Saccharomyces cerevisiae S288C: one gene and its partners. The gene in region 4 interacts genetically with the main gene of each other region. Each region holds a gene or a part of one and is shown on either strand. Other genes may lie near its edges.

Region 1 (5,534 bases), on a different chromosome or scaffold from region 4:
TAATGAGGCGAAAATTTTTAATTATGGTAGAATTTACGGCGCTGGTGCTAAATTTGCGAGTCAGTTACTTAAAAGGTTTAACCCATCTCTAACTGATGAAGAGACAAAAAAAATTGCGAATAAGTTATATGAAAATACGAAAGGTAAAACGAAAAGATCAAAATTATTCAAAAAATTTTGGTATGGTGGATCTGAGTCAATTCTATTCAATAAATTAGAAAGCATCGCGGAACAAGAAACTCCAAAGACACCGGTACTGGGATGTGGTATTACCTATTCACTTATGAAGAAAAATCTGAGGGCGAATTCCTTTCTACCTTCAAGAATCAATTGGGCCATCCAGTCATCTGGAGTGGATTATCTACATCTTCTTTGTTGCTCCATGGAATATATTATTAAGAAATATAACCTTGAGGCAAGGCTTTGCATTTCCATCCATGATGAGATTAGATTTTTGGTGAGCGAAAAGGACAAATACAGAGCTGCTATGGCTTTGCAAATCAGCAACATATGGACGAGAGCAATGTTTTGCCAGCAAATGGGGATAAATGAATTACCGCAAAACTGTGCCTTTTTCTCGCAAGTAGATATTGATTCTGTCATACGTAAAGAAGTCAATATGGACTGCATAACCCCCTCGAACAAAACCGCCATTCCTCATGGGGAGGCGCTTGATATCAATCAACTGCTAGACAAATCCAATAGTAAATTGGGTAAACCAAATCTCGATATCGACAGCAAAGTATCACAATATGCCTATAACTACAGAGAACCTGTATTTGAAGAATATAATAAATCTTATACTCCAGAGTTCTTAAAATATTTTCTTGCGATGCAAGTCCAGTCAGATAAGCGCGATGTGAATCGGCTAGAAGATGAGTATCTGCGGGAGTGTACATCCAAAGAATACGCTAGAGATGGGAACACTGCAGAGTACAGCCTCCTAGACTATATAAAGGATGTCGAGAAGGGCAAAAGGACTAAAGTACGTATTATGGGATCCAATTTTTTAGATGGTACCAAAAATGCCAAAGCTGATCAACGAATCAGATTACCTGTCAATATGCCAGATTATCCCACACTTCATAAAATTGCTAACGATTCAGCAATCCCAGAAAAGCAATTGCTGGAGAACAGGAGAAAGAAGGAAAACAGGATAGATGACGAAAATAAGAAAAAATTAACCAGAAAAAAGAATACCACGCCTATGGAAAGGAAGTACAAAAGAGTGTATGGTGGCAGGAAGGCATTTGAAGCGTTCTATGAATGTGCAAATAAACCGTTAGACTATACTTTGGAGACAGAAAAACAATTCTTTAATATTCCTATAGATGGAGTGATTGACGACGTTCTGAACGACAAATCTAATTATAAAAAGAAACCATCACAAGCAAGAACGGCATCATCATCGCCAATAAGAAAGACTGCGAAAGCAGTACATTCCAAAAAATTGCCGGCAAGGAAGTCAAGCACTACAAATAGAAATTTGGTTGAGCTGGAAAGGGACATTACTATTTCTAGAGAGTACTAGGCAAAATCTGCATTAGCTTTCGCATTTGTATTTATATATACAGCACATTATAATATTATTTTTTTATTTATTTCTACTTACTTTTTTTCGCCAAATGAGAAAACAAAAGTAAGTTGCCCCTATTAGAAAAAGAGTTAACATTAGGAAACGGGGACAAAACAAAAGGTAGAATTCAAAATAGGAATTCAAAACCCAAATTATCTGCATCTTCTCGTTAGCTAAGATTTTATAGATCATTGCAGGCTCGATAAATTTTACATGGTAACGAAACATGTCGTTTGATTGGCTTAATGTTCCGGGATTGGACTTAAGCAGCGGGGACCAAGCAGAAAAGAGGCCATCGAATGGATTAGGACCACCCAGTGTGTCTTTTGATTTTGGTATAAATACTGCTGCTCCACATGATTCCAGCTTTTGGGATCAGGGATCAAGAAGTCACAGTGATACAACTTTGTCTTACAGAAATAATCACTCAAATACAGCAGCTGATAATGCCACTAACGTGAGCTCTCCTCAAAAGGATAATCCACCTAATGGGGAGGTACGAACACTTTCTGGAGGCGATGTGTACGCGGAGTCACCAGAAGACATGCAAGTCCCATTGTCTTTATCACAAAACCAACTTACCCATGAAGAAATAAGGACATATCTAAGATGGTACCACTATATATGTTTGAGAACCCATGGAAAACTAGTAAGATTGAACGACGTGTTTAGGTTCTTGACCAATTTTAATTTATCACAAAAAGTAAAAGATAGAATTGTGGAAATTTTCCGTAGCTGTAAAAATGCGTTAAATATTGGTCAATTTTTCGCTGTTTTAAGATTAGTTTCTAGAGCTATTATATATGGCATCTTACCTCTAAGACGCATGATCTTGGAAAAGGCACCTGTTCCCAAACCACGTCCTATCCTAAGTAGTGAGAATCACGAAGAGGTGTACGAGGAGGTGGAAGACGATGATAGTTCTGCCAAAACTGGTGATCAAAAGGTCGATTTTGACTCATTTGCTTCATTGCTGTTGACTGGTAAGACAACGAGAAAAAGAGTCAGGAGAAGAATCAAAAATTTGAATTTTAAGAGTAAGAAGGTTAGGTTTTCAGAGCATATAACATTTCAAGACCCTCCAAACCTCAATCAAGAATCATCTAATAATAGTGAAGCAAGAAAGCAAGATCCTGATGCAGAAGATGAAGATCAGGATTCTAATAATGACAGTCCTTTGGATTTCACATTGCCCATGGATCAATTATTAAAGAGGCTATATAAGCGGAGAAAAAACAGCGGATTAGTTTCGAGTTTGCCCAGCGAACAACAAGAAACTGAGGAGGAGAAGAAAGTTTTGGAGGATATGAAGGATTCCTTGTCCCATTTCAAACAAATACAGACTGTTGATTCTGCCTCATTGCCAATTTCATCGGTATTTTTACAGAATGGCAATACTCTACCAACTAGCAATGTGAATAACACCACTGTTCCACAGCAACTTCCGTTAGAACCTTTGAAGCCAACCGCCACAGGTTCAGCTAATCACCTGGTGCGAGAAGAATATAATCAGGGGTTGCATCCAAGCAACGGTGCCATCCAAACAGGTTTACAACCTTTAAAACCAACAGCAACGGGCTCTGCAAATTATTTGATGCGAAGTCATATGGAACAACCTCAGTCTATCAAACCTTCGAGTACACCAGAAACAGTTACAAACTCTGGGGGACTTCAACCTTTGAAACCTACCGCCACAGGTTCTGCAAATTACTTGATGAAACAGCATATCTCACCTTCAGTTAATAACCCAGTATCTTCGATGTTTCAGGCGCAATTTACGAACCAATCTTCATCTCCACAAAGTACAGGACCAGCATTTCTGAATTCTCCGAACATTACTCTTCCTCAAAGCAATCAACAGCAACCTTACCAAGAGGTTAATCCGACTCAAGCGAAAATTGAACCATCTAACATATCGCCTCAACACACCTACTCTAACAATGTTCGGATTAATAATGGTAACATCGTATCCATGCCGAAAGTAGAAATAACTGGTGCATTCCCCCCTCAAAACACTCTTCCTCAACATCAGCAATCGCATTTGCTTTCTCCTCAAAATACGATCCCGCAGCACCAACGGTCGCAATTGATATCTCCACAAAATACCTTCACTCAAAATCAGCCCATTCTTTCTCCGCAACATACTTATTCCAATAATCAAGCAACAATGATATCCCCCCAGAATACGTATACTAATAATCAACAGCAGCCCCAACATCTTCCACCTCCTCCACCTCCACGCGCTCAGCAGCAGCAACAAGGGGCCATTGTGCCACCTCAACATATGTACTCTAACGTGCAAAAGCAGAATAATTTGGTGCCGACCCAACCCTCCTATACAAATTCACCAAGCATACAATCTCCAAATTTTTTGTCACCTCAGAATGCTGCTAATAGTTACTTTCAATCTTTACTTTCTTCTTCACCATCTCCAAATCCTACGCCATCAAATGCGTCTACTGTTAATGGCAATAACGCCAGTAATGGCATAAGTTCATTCCAAAATACTAGTGCGGCAATGAACAATACTCAATCTCATCAGACGTATATTCAGCAGCAACAACAACAACAAACTCAACAACGAATATATGGTGGCCAACTTTCTCAAATGCAACAACATCCGGGGCAACTTCACTTAAACAACAGTGATATACATAGCCAACCTAACAAGCCTAATTACGGAATGCTAGGGCAGCAAGTTCATCAACAGCAACAGCAACAGCAGCAGCAATTTCCATTCACTGCAGATGTTAATAGATCCAATTCAAGCGATATTTTGGGTAACTTGCAGTCATTGCAGCAGCAAGTCGATGCTTTACAAATCCAATATAATAGGAGACCATAGTATCGTAAGCTAAACGAGGTGTATAGTTTTGAAAGATAATATATGTAGGTATATGTGTACATAAAGTCACAAAAGTGATGTAATTTATGAACACCTGTTTACTAGCATTATTTATTGTCTTGATTATTGAGCTAGTCTTTTAGTTTCACCAAACATTTAGCAACATGGCGTAAACCTCTGAACAATAGTTAACTAATTTTGCATATACAATGAATGTAGCCAGTAATATTTAATTATTTCTTTAATTTTTTGCTTTTCTTTGGAACCCGCACCAGCCAGTATAAAAATATTGCTGCACAATAGTCAAAGACAATATATGCACTAAAAATGCCATAGTTCATCCATCTACGTGAATACGAAGAACTCACAGTCGCCAGATAATCATTGGTAGAACTGAATTGACAAAAGTGACATTCAGTTTCGGAACTCCCATCGAGCAGATAACCCGTCCCGGTGGATTGCATATAAGGTTCCATATATTCCGAGCATGTCATACCGCTTGGAGGAACAATTTTTAAAAGTTCGTTGCTGGAACAAACGACACTAGCATTGGCCAGTCCTACCGATAGCAGAGCATCAATGAGGTATGTCAGTGGCGATACTCTATACATAAAAATCCAGAATCTTGGTAGAATATTTGGCGTAGCCAGAACACCGCAGAAAGATAATGACATTATAAAGAAAAGTGAAGCGAGATTCGCAGCATTTTCTGCAATTTCAATGCATGAAATCACTAATACCCCCATTGAACTGATGTAGACGTAAAACGCGCACGCAAATAACCAAAATAAAGCTCCTCGTTCATGAAGTTGATTTGCATAAGAAGCATTTCTGTAAAATCCAACAGGATAATAATAGACGAAAAAAGCTATAGTACCGGCCAGTAAATTCCAAGGGATTTCCACGAGAATCTGCGATACAATAAATGCTTTCCACGAAAAGGTTCTTGATGGCCTTTCTCTAGCTTCATAAAGTTCCCTCTGCTGAACGAAAAGTGGTAAATATTGTTGCAATATTGGGTTGAATACCACTGTAAACATAAAAATGGCCAGCATTTGATTCTGTAGGCCCTGTAATGATGTATTCGCCTTGAAAAAAGTGAAGCCTATGAAG
Region 2 (5,543 bases), on a different chromosome or scaffold from region 4:
TTGCTCTAAGGAGGGAAATGGGCCTTTTCGCTAATGTTCGTCCTGTTAAGTCTGTAGAGGGAGAAAAGGGTAAACCAATTGACATGGTTATCGTCAGAGAAAATACTGAGGACCTGTACATTAAAATTGAAAAAACATACATTGACAAGGCCACAGGTACAAGAGTTGCTGATGCCACAAAGAGAATATCCGAAATTGCAACAAGAAGAATTGCAACCATTGCATTAGATATTGCCTTGAAAAGATTACAAACAAGAGGCCAAGCCACTTTGACAGTGACTCATAAATCAAATGTTCTATCTCAAAGTGATGGTCTATTCAGAGAAATCTGTAAGGAAGTCTACGAATCTAACAAGGACAAGTACGGTCAAATCAAATATAACGAACAAATTGTGGATTCCATGGTTTATAGGCTGTTCAGAGAACCACAATGTTTTGATGTGATAGTGGCACCAAACCTATACGGGGATATATTATCTGACGGTGCTGCTGCTTTAGTCGGTTCATTAGGTGTTGTTCCAAGCGCCAACGTAGGTCCAGAAATTGTCATTGGTGAACCATGCCATGGTTCTGCACCAGATATTGCTGGTAAAGGTATTGCTAACCCAATCGCCACTATAAGATCTACTGCTTTGATGTTGGAATTCTTGGGCCACAACGAAGCTGCCCAAGATATCTACAAGGCTGTTGATGCTAACTTAAGAGAGGGTTCTATCAAGACACCAGATTTAGGTGGTAAGGCTTCTACTCAACAAGTCGTTGACGACGTTTTGTCGAGATTATAGAGCATATAATAGGAAAATAGAAACGAATAAATAAATGAATGAGTGACAAGATATATTTCAAAAAATTTCAAATGATTGACGAAAGAAAATTTGTACATTTTGTATGACTTTTAATATTACATAGTCTATTATGTGTGAGAGCAAGTTTTAAACTTTGCTGGGAAACCTTTTTCTAAAATCGGCTTCTAAATCATCTACGTTAACATCAACAATAGTTTCTGTGGCTTCGCTGGAAATTCTTTCAATCGGCAGTTTCTTTGATTGTAAACGACTAAAGTTTCTTATCTTCTGAATTTCTGTCCTTAAATGTAGTGGTTTTGGTGGTGGACGTGGTGGTCTTGATTTATCTTTACCGTTGCTTTTCGTTTTGATGTCCAAAACACCATCCTTAAGGGTTTTCTTAAACTTTTCTTCTGTGATTGGTGTTATTCTTACACTTGAATGTCGATTGGAAGTTTCTGTACCAATATCTGTATATTTACCATACCCGGATGCGGATTTATACGTTACCGGATCATCAGAACTCTTTAGTAAGTTATGCACTCTTCTTTGAATTGATTCCTTCTTTTCTTGATTTATATTAACGTTGCCATTATCTGGTATCAAAGTAGGCTTTGATGTCGTTTTAGCTGATGCTTGAGTTTTCTTCACTGGAGAATGAGACCTGTAATAGTCCCTTGATCCAGTTCTCGAGTTATTCCTCTCATGCTGGTCAAAATCTGATAAAATTGAAGGAGGCATACTGCGACGTTTTTCCAGTCTCTGATTCTTGTCTGATTCCTCTTTTCTTTTGGTATCAGAATTAAATTTAGGAAAGGAGGAGGTTGAAGACGAAACTAATCGCCTGTTTGTATTGTTACCATTGCCGTTGACATTGTTATTATCAAAGGAAGCAGACCTGCTATTGTTCACTGAGTTTCCTGTAAACCCATGACGAAGCTTACCAAATGCTGATCTGATACTATCACCAGTATTTTGCCTTGATTTAATCGGAGAATTGCCGCGAGATTCACCAGTAATAACCTTTTTTAACTTAGAGCTTAGTGAACGCACAATCTTGCTTCCATTTATATTATCTGGAGCAGCAATTTCTTTTGTGGAGCTTAGTGATTTGCTTGTAATGGTGGGAGATAGTTTTAAGTTTGGCACAGCCATGTTATCTATAGTTTGCGTCTCAGAATCAACGTAGTTATTTGGACGATTTATTGCCGAAACTCTATCAAAAATGTCATTATTAACAGGAGTAAGCGATAATGGAGGCATAGACTTCCTTTGTGGGGATTGGAAACTTTCTACTGATTTGAAAGTCTGAGACTTTTGAAAAGGGTGTAGCTCTTTATAATATAGTGATGCAAATTCATCAGAAAGTGGAACGGATTTTGTTTTCATTAAGGGACTAGTCAAATTTGAATGGCTTCCAACCTGTAAGCCAGCATGCGCCGTTACTTCTGTCTTGTTATTATCATTAATAGATATAGGGAAAGTACCCAAATTAGGAGTAGTACTGACGTGAGTTACAGGCATCATATTTGGTGGCTGGTTGATGCTCTGAAGGCTTTGTACGGGAATAAATTTCTGTGTTGGAACATAAGTTGTCGAAGACGGTTCACCGGCCAATTGGGTATTCGCATTCTGATTCATTGCTCTTAACAAGTAAAAATTTCTAATCGGGCAAGGCTTATTCTGTAACCTGGAAACCTCCTCTAAAACTTGACAAATATTTGGCCTCTGAGATGGTGCTTCCATTAACATAAGACGTATCAAATTTTTCAACCTGTCACTATACTGCGGAAAGGATGGATATTGATACCTTGCATGTAGTATACCGGCTTCACCACTTTTTTCAAACGGCGTAGTATAGTAACATATTTTGTAAAGAAAGACACCAAGAGCCCAAATATCAGATTTTTCGTCGATAGGTAACCCTCTGTACAGGTCAATCATTTCAGGTGATCTATACTGAGCTGTAGTATTTGTTAGGATGTCGTGTTGAACATAATTAAACTCTTGAGTATTTCTAGGTGGCCTTATCACACCGGAAACGGAACCAAAATCACAAACTTTATACAAGCCATCATGAGAAATAAGTACATTCTCAATCTTAATATCTCTATGAATCAATGGCGGCTGCAGAGCGTGCATTGCAGTTATACCTTGGACGGTTTGACTCATAATTTCTAATATTTCAGATTCTTGTAATCTATTTTGTAATCTGGTGTTCATAAAATCTATAAGACCTCCACGTTCACAAAATTCCATTAACACAAACACCTCATATGCTATACCATTTACAGACCTTGCAGCATGTGAATCTATGTAAGAAACAACATGCTTATTATTTCTAAGGAGTTTCATAGCATCCACTTCAGCTCTCAAGGTATTTAAACCCTGTTTATGGGGGACAATGACTCTTTTCAAGCATGCTATGTTAGCATTGCTATATGGGTCAGGAGGGGAAATTTCGGCAGTATATACTTGTGCGAATCCACCACTCGTAAGGTATTTGATAATCTTAGCATGATGAGATCCCACAGTTAATATTGTCCCGGGTTCATACAGACTAATCTGTGGAGTATTCATTGTTTTTGGATCAGTTCAACTAAAGATAGGAGGTTACAAATAATCTTGATCAACACTTCAATCAAAAAAGATTTTTTTCGCTGAAGATAATAAACTATCCCACAATGGAAATTCAACCTGTATTAGCGAACTAACTTATGTTCAAGTGGAGCCTGTGACCTGCCTGCTTGGTGACTTTTTTAGCGTTTCCTAAATGTACTGTTCTATATTTTTCTTTTTCCAAGACCTTCGCTCTGCATACGCCTGCCTGGTTATAATTACAGTTTTTTTTAAAAACCTTTACTAAGAATAAATAGTAACAGCTAGTGCAAACTAACGACATTGACATTTACTTGATATAAAATAATTGAGAGCGATCATATATATCGGAAATCTCTATCAGTACTAATATTAAATTTACATGAAATACTTCAACAAATTCCTGGTCTCTTGGCCCAGTTGGTTAAGGCACCGTGCTAATAACGCGGGGATCAGCGGTTCGATCCCGCTAGAGACCACTTATTTTTATGACTTCTTGGAAGTCAATTTTTTTTTCCTTCTGAATCAGTAATAACAAAAGTCGTAGTTGATCTTGTTATTGGATCATGTACATCAGTATTATTAATGATTTTAGTATTTCAAGCTGGCTCCCATATTTTTCTCCTGTAGAAAGAATGTAAATTATTCGGAAAAAAAAAAAAAAAAAGAAAAGAATTGGCGATGCGATGAGCTTAAAAGAAAACCTTCCATTACTTAAATTCATTGGAGCCTGACAACGTTTAGTAACGTTAAAATCATAGATTAACACCAATCATAACCTAAAATTATCAATGGCCAGGAAATTGAAGGGTAAGATTGGGAGTAAAGGCCTAAAAGGTGCATTATTAAGGCACAAGGCCAAAGTGAAATTAGTGAGGAATATTGAAAGTAAGCAAAAACATGAACTAAGAAAGAAAAATTCGAGCGCTAATAACAAAACCGTGAAGAGAAACCAAGAATTCCAAAAACTTAATCAAGGGAAGGTTATGCCCTTTGAGAAGGATGAAACTTTGATGCTATGTGGTGAAGGAGATTTTTCTTTTGCCAGATCCATTGTTGAACAAAACTATATTGAAAGTGACAATTTAATCATAACAAGTTACGATAATTCTGTGAATGAGCTGAAATTGAAATATCCGCATACTTTTGAGGAAAATTACCAGTACTTAAAAGATCTAAATATTCCGATATTTTTCCAGATTGACGTTACGAAGCTCGTAAAGAGCTTTAAAATTTCCAAAAATAATACTTGGTTTAAAATAATCAACAGGCTTAGCGATCATCGTTGGGGTAACAAACCTTTACAAAATATAGTTTTCAATTTTCCCCATAATGGAAAAGGTATTAAGGATCAAGAAAGAAATATTAGAGAGCATCAGGACTTAATTTTTAACTTTTTCCAAAATTCCTTACAATTATTTAATCTTATAAACACGAAAATTCAAAATGATACTCTTCGTTATACGCAAGGCTATGATCTTAATGAGGATACTCCCCAGGCTAAAAAATTGACCGCCGAAGGTTATGGTAACATCATACTGTCCCTTTTCGATGGAGAGCCCTATGATTCATGGCAAATCAAACTTTTAGCCAAAAAAAATGGACTAACTCTGAGCAGATCGAGCAAATTCCAATGGGAAAATTTTCCAGGATATCATCACCGGAGAACGAATAGCGAACAAGATACTACAAAACCTGCGAAAGAACGTGATGCTAGGTTCTACATCTTTAGTAAATATGTCTCGAATAGTTCAAAACATAACCGTAAAAGCAAAAAAGACACAGATTCTGATTCAGACTAAGTACAGAAGGAAGAATGTCGCCATGTTGATGAAAGAACTTTCATTTTCCCTAATTCTTATATAGCGTAAGTATCTGTAAAATAGTTGTGAAAGTTGGACAAATCTTTATATAAAAAAATGCATATAGCTTGAAACTATTTCAGGTTGGGTACATTTTGATAGAATCTGATTCGCAAAATATTTTCATGTCAACTGGATCCATAATTTGACCTGGATTTAAAGAAATTAAGTTTTGCTTTTTCAATGTTTTGGCCAATTTCTTCAATTTTTTACTGTCGTAAACATTTCCATTTGGTAATAGTATTGGATTTTCAAATAATTGAGACTGAATGTGATGAGCAAATGGTAATGCCTGTGT
Region 3 (3,309 bases), 310 kb from region 4:
CACGAATGATTATCTCCCTGGAAGGTATCCAGAGGGCAGGATACGTTCGAAACAACAACTACGTTATATAAATATTTATACATAGTGGGATAGAATGAACAATTATCAAGTAAACCTTGTATTTTTTGTTCCCACGCTCTACGCTCTGTTTCTTGGATATGGTAATCAAAGATTAATACGTATAACCGTTATTAATTCAGTCCACTAGAAACTATTAAAAGCGCCCTACTGTATGGAAAAACAATGAATGAGGAGACTGAACGGCGCAAAATTGTTAGTTTAGTTGCTCTTTTTGGCGGCCGGCGATAATGTTCTTCACTTGGTATTCTTACCAGGATTGAGCCTGATTTTGTTTTGTCTTATTCTTTGCGATGTCTTCATTTTCTACAAAACCTCTAATTTCTCCGGCAATGGCCCTTGAAACGTCTTCAAAGACTTCAAATGTCACGGTGGGGGTTCTTTTATCTTTAACTAATCGATGAAGAGTTATTAGAATGGTTCTAAACTTATTTTTCAATTTTATTAACACCCTCTCAAATTCCATCACACTTTCATCATCGTTATTCATTTTCAAACCTTTCATTAAAGTACGAATGGTATGTATATTCTTTTCTAGTGTTGGACTATGCAATCCATACGATTCTATAACATCACACAAACCTTCCATTTGTCCCAGGAGCGTAAATCTTTGGAATCCCACTTGTAAACCATACTGTTTACCTTCTAGAAAGCTCTGCTTTATATTCTCATTCTGGCCCTCCAGAAAACCTTCTTGGTAATACTGTTCTTCTAGGTTTAGTAAATTATCAAAATCCATTTTTATTTGTCCAGTGATCTTTACTTTCCATTTACTCTTCAAATATGATAAGTGATTTGATTTAAACAAGTTTTTTTTCATTTTTCTTATAAAACGATTTCTCACCATGATTGAGATTTTTATATTAGTAAGATTATACTGAAAAGGCAAATGGCTACATAGCCAACAAAGAATAAAACAATAAAACAATAAAAAAAGACTTTTTTCTTCGTAAGCATCCTATTGAGAATATTAATCATTTACTTAAGTAGCTACAATACAAAATAGAGTAAAAAACTATTTCTCTTCACTTTCATTCACAATTGTTTGCCAGATCTAACTTCCTTTCCGGTTTTCTTAATCTTTTCTAAAATAAAATCGTAAGGAAGTGTAGTATATACATCTACTAATTGCTTTTCAAGGGATATATCTATTTTGGAAACGTCTGGTTCTAATTTCGTCAAAACTTTATTGACTGCACCAGAACATCCCGAGCAGGTCATGACGACATTGAATTGATAATGTTTTATCTCTGCCATCTTTTGCGCTAGTTCTCTCTTGTGTCGTTGGAAATCTCATCCTGCAATGTTTTAAGATGATTCAAGTCATTTAAGAAGCTCAAAAATGCACTACAAGATGTGCCAACTTTGCACCCCCAAAAAAAACTACCGCATCACGTGAAATTTATTAGAAAACTGAAAAAAAGACAACTTACGCATACGTAATACAAGATGTACATCTATTGCAATGATCATGTAACCTATCCTACGATTAATTATTTTTTAATCATCTAGAGCAGTGCCTCTAATTTCGTAAATATCATCAATGGCATTCCTTCGCAGGGGAGTGTCGGCAAACAATAACTCTATCCATTGGATTAGTTCGTCTGTCGCAAAAAGATAAAAATCCCCATTGTAAAACATCTCCATAATCTCCTTTAAATGTAATGGTAGAAACTTGCCCATAGTGGCGAATTTTTCTCTCATCTTTTTGTAACTTGGTTCCTTCGCTAATAATTGTATATCGGTGTTGTTCACTAATAAAGATACGAGCTCACCCAAATTTTCGGAATTGACCTCAGAGATAATCTGCCATTTTAATATTTCCTTTGTCACGCAATCGTTATATAAAAAGTTTAAGAAAGACAACAAGTAACGGGAACCTTCTTCACCTCTTATTTTCTGCAGTGGACGAACAATTTCCTTCAAGATATAAGGTAGCAGTTTCTCAATGGTGGCGTCCCACGATGGATTTCTCTCGTTCTCACGAAATTCGGTCAATTGATGCCTGATTAGTTGACAGACAATACGATATTTCATGTTCAGTTTAGTTTCCAGCAGGTTCCTTGTTAATTCTTTTATTCTATACAGCTTTTCATCTCGTTCTATTAGATATCTCATATCCACATATAATTGGCACCAATTGTGAGAAAAATTAGCTGTGCACATGGCCATATACGATGTCTGCAAAAGGTTGTATTTGTACGCAAAGTATTGCTCATCAACATGGCTATCTGCAAAGCTACTCTTGAAATTCTGTGAAATTGCCAAGAACAATTTTGGTAACTGTGTAACTTCAATGTGGTCTTTATCAAGTGATCCTACATCATGAGCTTTTAAATGTTCCTTTCCATTTTCTAGGGAAGCATCATCTATATTTTCGTCAATTGCCCAGGCTTCATCCCAGGCATTTTCTTCTTCTTCTGGTTCTTTTTCCTTCTCTTGATTTGTTTTTTCTTCCTCGTCGTCAATATTTACATCAATTTCATCACCCCATGCATCGGCATCATCATCCTCTACTTCCCAATTCCAATCATCATCTTTGGATACGGCATTATGGAGTTCTTTTTCGTTCTGTACATCTGAATCATTTTTTCCAATTTTTTCGCTCATCGTATTAGTATTGCTAGTAGTGAGCTCAACTACTTCCAAATTTTGCCAGCTCTTTTTTGGATCTTCAAATATACTTCTTATCTCACTAATATGCGATTCAAGAACTTTATCTAGTAATAAATTGTAGTATAATTGTTTGTTCATTAACAAATCCTGAATCTCTTTACCGGAATGTGTCCAATTGGTAACTTCTGATTTGGCAACTAGTCTAGTTAGTTTGTTATTTATGACAGAAACTAGATTTTTTAGCGGTGAATCAAGTGATTCTAAAATTATCGATGCATTATTTTTCACAAATTTGGTAAACTCCGTATTGAACAAGGGACCTAGCTCATAACTTAAGGTCTTTCTGTCTCTAAAGGCTAATCCGTCTAACATGAAATCGCATACTGCTTCAAAACTTGTTAATACAGTAGACACACAATGTTGGCCATGCGAAGAGGATTTAGAAAAGACAAGTATGTTTTTTTCGTTTTCATATGAGATTTCTTTACCAGATATAAAAATAGAATTTTTGATCATGCTTACAATCCTGGAAAGGTTCATATACTCCTTCATGATTGTATTCAATTTTGCTCTTACCTGCTCTTGAGAGTCGGCACTGGTCATATCTAAAATGAA
Region 4 (3,666 bases):
AAAATATCTTCACAATGGTAATGCCAAGAATGATGCATTGTCTTTAGTTGCTACTGAATTCAACACTTACAAATCCACACCAAATCTTGATGAACAGTTTGTCGAATCCCATAGATTTCTTCTTGAAATTTCAAAAGTCATGCAGGAGCTAAATGCTGCGAAATTAATCGATGAAAACGTGTTTAAATTATTCACTAAAGCAGTTGAGTTTACTACAACAGCTCTATCTAGCTGAAGCGTGAGAATGAGTATGATGGAAATAGTGGAACTATTTAAAAAGCACCCAATAAAGAAAGATAGTTACTGTAAAGAGGTATATTATCATTATTCAGAGGGTTCAAGTACCATCATCAAGATTTAACACAAGCACAGTGAATAGCAACAATTAAAGAAAAAACTAATCAAAATCACGGTAGAAATAGGAGAAAAAAAGTAAAACAGAAACTAAGTCACTGTTTCTTTATATGACATATTCTATTATATAAATATGTAAAGAACGCTGAACAGTAAAAATTTTATGAAATTCCGGCAGAGAAGAAAAGGAAAAAATAAGTATACACCACACCGTTACTGGATAGATTGAAGTTCAAATCAAAAAAGTTTACAAGTGAAATAACAAACAGTAAATATTACACATTCATGTACATAAAATTAATTATCGGTGTCAATTGATTTCTGCTTGTAATGCTTGCAATTCGTGTCTCTTATTGTTCAAGTAATTCTCCAATACTTCAACCTGCTGTTCAATGTTATCCAAGTCATCAGTTATCGACCTGATGTTAATCCGCTTAGAAAGTTTTGAGCCTCCTTGAGTTTTTTCACTCTTTTTGTAGTTCAAAAGGCCTTCTAATTGTTCTCTCATGTTCGCAACTTGATCATCTGTCAGAGAAGCATATTTTTGCTTTATACTGTCTTCATTTGAAAGCACGTTACTGCCACTGCTATCGGAACTCGAGTTCTGCCCATTGTCACGCAGATTGTCCACTTCGTTAGCTTCTTCTTTTCTCTTTGTAGGAGGTTGAGAGGACCGTAAATCATAGCTCAGTTGTTTTTTATTGCACACCTCCGCCAGAGAATTTGGTAAACTTGCTGGAATTTCAGCACCCAAATCATTTCTTTGTCTTAAACAGTGAATAAAATAAAAAGTAGGATCTCTATCAATTGATGGCAAATTTTGTGGGTTAATTAAACTCCAAACCTTATTTAAATCTGTCTTACTGATGTTAAAAAATTTTGTGGAAAGTTTTGTTGACAGTTCGTTGAATGTAATAGTACCATCGGTTAGTTTTGCACAGCTATTATAAATTTTTTCATATTGATTCAAATCATCTGGAGACATGTACCAATCTACTTTGATTTCCTTCTTTGGAGGCAAGTCTGCGTTTTCTATTTGCTTGCGCTTCTTTCTTTCTTTGATTAGATTCACCTTACTCCCTGGAATCAACCAATCAGGCAATTCATCTGGAACAGAGCTAATGTTTTTATTAACCATATCAAATATTAATCTCATGCAAATTACAAATTCCTCAAAGTCTAAATTGTCGTCGTCATCAATATCAGCTAAAAACCAAATCTTGTTTAGAACCGATGAATCTAATTTGGAATTATAAAGAATTGGTAAAACCTGGTCATGGTTTACCTTATTCTCTATTGGTTTCAAACCCGAGAAGATTTGCCAGTATTTTTTTATTTCAAATTGTTCCAACTTGGGCATTTTTCAGAGATCCCTGTTATCTTTACCGGCCTTTCCAATACCCACTAACTCTATGGTTATATTACAATCGTCTGATTATAACAGGCAATTAACCTTGTGTTTCTGACGTTCTTTTCATTCATTCTTGATATGTTAAATCATAGGGGTCCTACACGATCGTCAAATATGATATTTAAAAAGTAATAAATAAAAATGCAGCTTTTTTATTAGCGATGGGAAATATTGAATATTTGAAGGGGCAAATAACGTTTAATTCAATCGAATGACGGTCTAAATGCTGCTGAAAAATTGCGAGACGGACAAGCAGCGAGATATACGGTATGCGTGTTTGTTCAAGGAACTTGATGTTAAGGGAAATGGTCAAGTTACTCTAGATAATCTGATAAGTGCTTTTGAGAAGAACGACCATCCGCTCAAGGGAAATGATGAGGCAATCAAAATGCTGTTTACTGCAATGGATGTTAACAAGGACTCTGTAGTTGATTTAAGCGATTTCAAGAAGTATGCTTCCAATGCCGAATCTCAAATTTGGAACGGCTTCCAGAGGATAGATTTAGATCATGACGGTAAGATTGGCATTAACGAAATAAATAGGTATTTGTCAGACCTCGACAACCAGAGCATATGTAATAATGAACTTAATCATGAACTTTCAAATGAAAAGATGAACAAATTCTCGAGGTTTTTTGAATGGGCGTTTCCAAAGAGAAAAGCCAACATTGCGCTACGAGGCCAGGCTAGCCACAAAAAGAATACTGATAATGATCGGTCAAAGAAAACCACCGACTCAGATTTATACGTTACATATGATCAATGGAGAGACTTTTTGCTGCTGGTACCGAGAAAGCAGGGTTCGAGACTTCATACTGCTTATTCCTATTTTTACCTATTCAACGAAGATGTCGATCTGTCCTCAGAGGGAGATGTTACTCTCATAAACGATTTCATTCGCGGGTTCGGGTTTTTTATTGCTGGTGGTATTTCAGGTGTTATTTCAAGGACTTGTACCGCGCCATTTGATAGACTGAAAGTGTTTCTCATCGCAAGAACGGATCTATCCTCGATCTTGTTAAATTCAAAAACAGATCTCCTTGCTAAAAACCCCAATGCTGACATAAACAAGATATCATCTCCATTAGCAAAGGCTGTCAAAAGCTTATATAGGCAAGGCGGGATAAAGGCTTTTTATGTTGGGAACGGTTTAAACGTCATCAAAGTTTTTCCAGAAAGTTCGATAAAGTTTGGTTCTTTCGAGGTCACCAAGAAAATAATGACCAAATTAGAAGGCTGCCGCGACACAAAAGATCTTTCAAAGTTCTCTACTTACATTGCTGGTGGTTTAGCTGGTATGGCAGCTCAGTTTTCCGTTTATCCTATAGATACTTTGAAATTCAGGGTGCAGTGCGCTCCTTTGGACACAAAGTTGAAGGGGAATAATTTGCTCTTTCAGACTGCAAAAGATATGTTTCGAGAGGGGGGGGGTCAGATTATTTTACAGAGGTGTCACAGTCGGTATAGTGGGCATATTTCCCTATGCTGCATTAGATTTGGGGACTTTTTCTGCCTTAAAAAAATGGTATATTGCCAAACAGGCAAAGACCCTGAACCTACCACAAGATCAGGTCACTCTAAGCAACCTGGTTGTACTTCCAATGGGTGCATTCAGTGGAACTGTAGGAGCTTCTGTTGTTTATCCAATCAATCTTTTAAGAACAAGACTACAAGCCCAAGGAACATATGCACATCCTTATGTGTATAACGGCTTTAAAGATGTTTTGTTAAAGACGCTAGAAAGGGAAGGTTATCAAGGTCTATTTAAAGGTCTAGTACCAACTTTAGCAAAAGTATGTCCAGCAGTTTCCATCAGCTATTTATGTTACGAAAATCTGAAAAAATTCATGAATCTGGAGTAGTGATAATAACATATGCATATGTATCAACTAGTGAATTCT

The links.
Region 1: mutations in END3 (region 4) and SCD5 are lethal when combined (synthetic lethality), as found in Saccharomyces cerevisiae (2 studies listed by BioGRID).
Region 2: of END3 (region 4) and PRK1, a mutation in one rescues a mutant of the other (synthetic rescue), as found in Saccharomyces cerevisiae (2 studies listed by BioGRID).
Region 3: mutations in END3 (region 4) and ATX1 are lethal when combined (synthetic lethality), as found in Saccharomyces cerevisiae (one study listed by BioGRID).

The regions. Positions count from the first base shown.
Region 1 is NC_001147.6:935,618-941,151, reverse strand, and holds SCD5 (Scd5p), read left to right. Parts: upstream 1-1,802; coding exon 1,803-4,421; downstream 4,422-5,534. Other genes in the region: DNA-directed DNA polymerase gamma MIP1, read left to right, coding at 1-1,531; ATP-binding cassette multidrug transporter PDR10, read right to left, coding at 4,655-5,534. UniProt on the Saccharomyces cerevisiae protein: Regulates both fluid phase and receptor-mediated endocytosis. Involved in vesicular transport at a late stage of the secretory pathway. Regulates actin cytoskeleton organization.
Region 2 is NC_001141.2:181,759-187,301, reverse strand, and holds PRK1 (serine/threonine protein kinase PRK1), read right to left. Parts: upstream 3,366-5,543; coding exon 933-3,365; downstream 1-932. Other genes in the region: LYS12 (homoisocitrate dehydrogenase), read left to right, coding at 1-785; BMT5 (25S rRNA (uracil2634-N3)-methyltransferase), read left to right, coding at 4,175-5,185; glucose-induced degradation complex subunit FYV10, read right to left, coding at 5,325-5,543. UniProt on the Saccharomyces cerevisiae protein: Protein kinase involved in the regulation of actin cytoskeleton organization and endocytosis. Phosphorylates PAN1 which disrupts the interaction between PAN1 and END3, and between PAN1 and SLA1. Phosphorylates SCD5.
Region 3 is NC_001146.8:156,531-159,839, forward strand, and holds ATX1 (copper metallochaperone ATX1), read right to left. Parts: upstream 1,336-3,309; coding exon 1,114-1,335; downstream 1-1,113. Other genes in the region: ORC5 (origin recognition complex subunit 5), read left to right, coding at 1-9; ribosome biosynthesis protein LTO1, read right to left, coding at 329-817; DSL1 (Dsl1p), read right to left, coding at 1,579-3,309. UniProt on the Saccharomyces cerevisiae protein: Copper homeostasis factor that specifically transports copper to the secretory pathway for incorporation into copper enzymes destined for the cell surface or extracellular milieu.
Region 4 is NC_001146.8:469,389-473,054, forward strand, and holds END3 (End3p), read right to left. Parts: upstream 1,715-3,666; coding exon 665-1,714; downstream 1-664. Other genes in the region: MKT1 (Mkt1p), read left to right, coding at 1-235; Ca(2+)-binding ATP:ADP antiporter SAL1, read left to right, coding at 1,989-3,473. UniProt on the Saccharomyces cerevisiae protein: Component of the PAN1 actin cytoskeleton-regulatory complex required for the internalization of endosomes during actin-coupled endocytosis. The complex links the site of endocytosis to the cell membrane-associated actin cytoskeleton.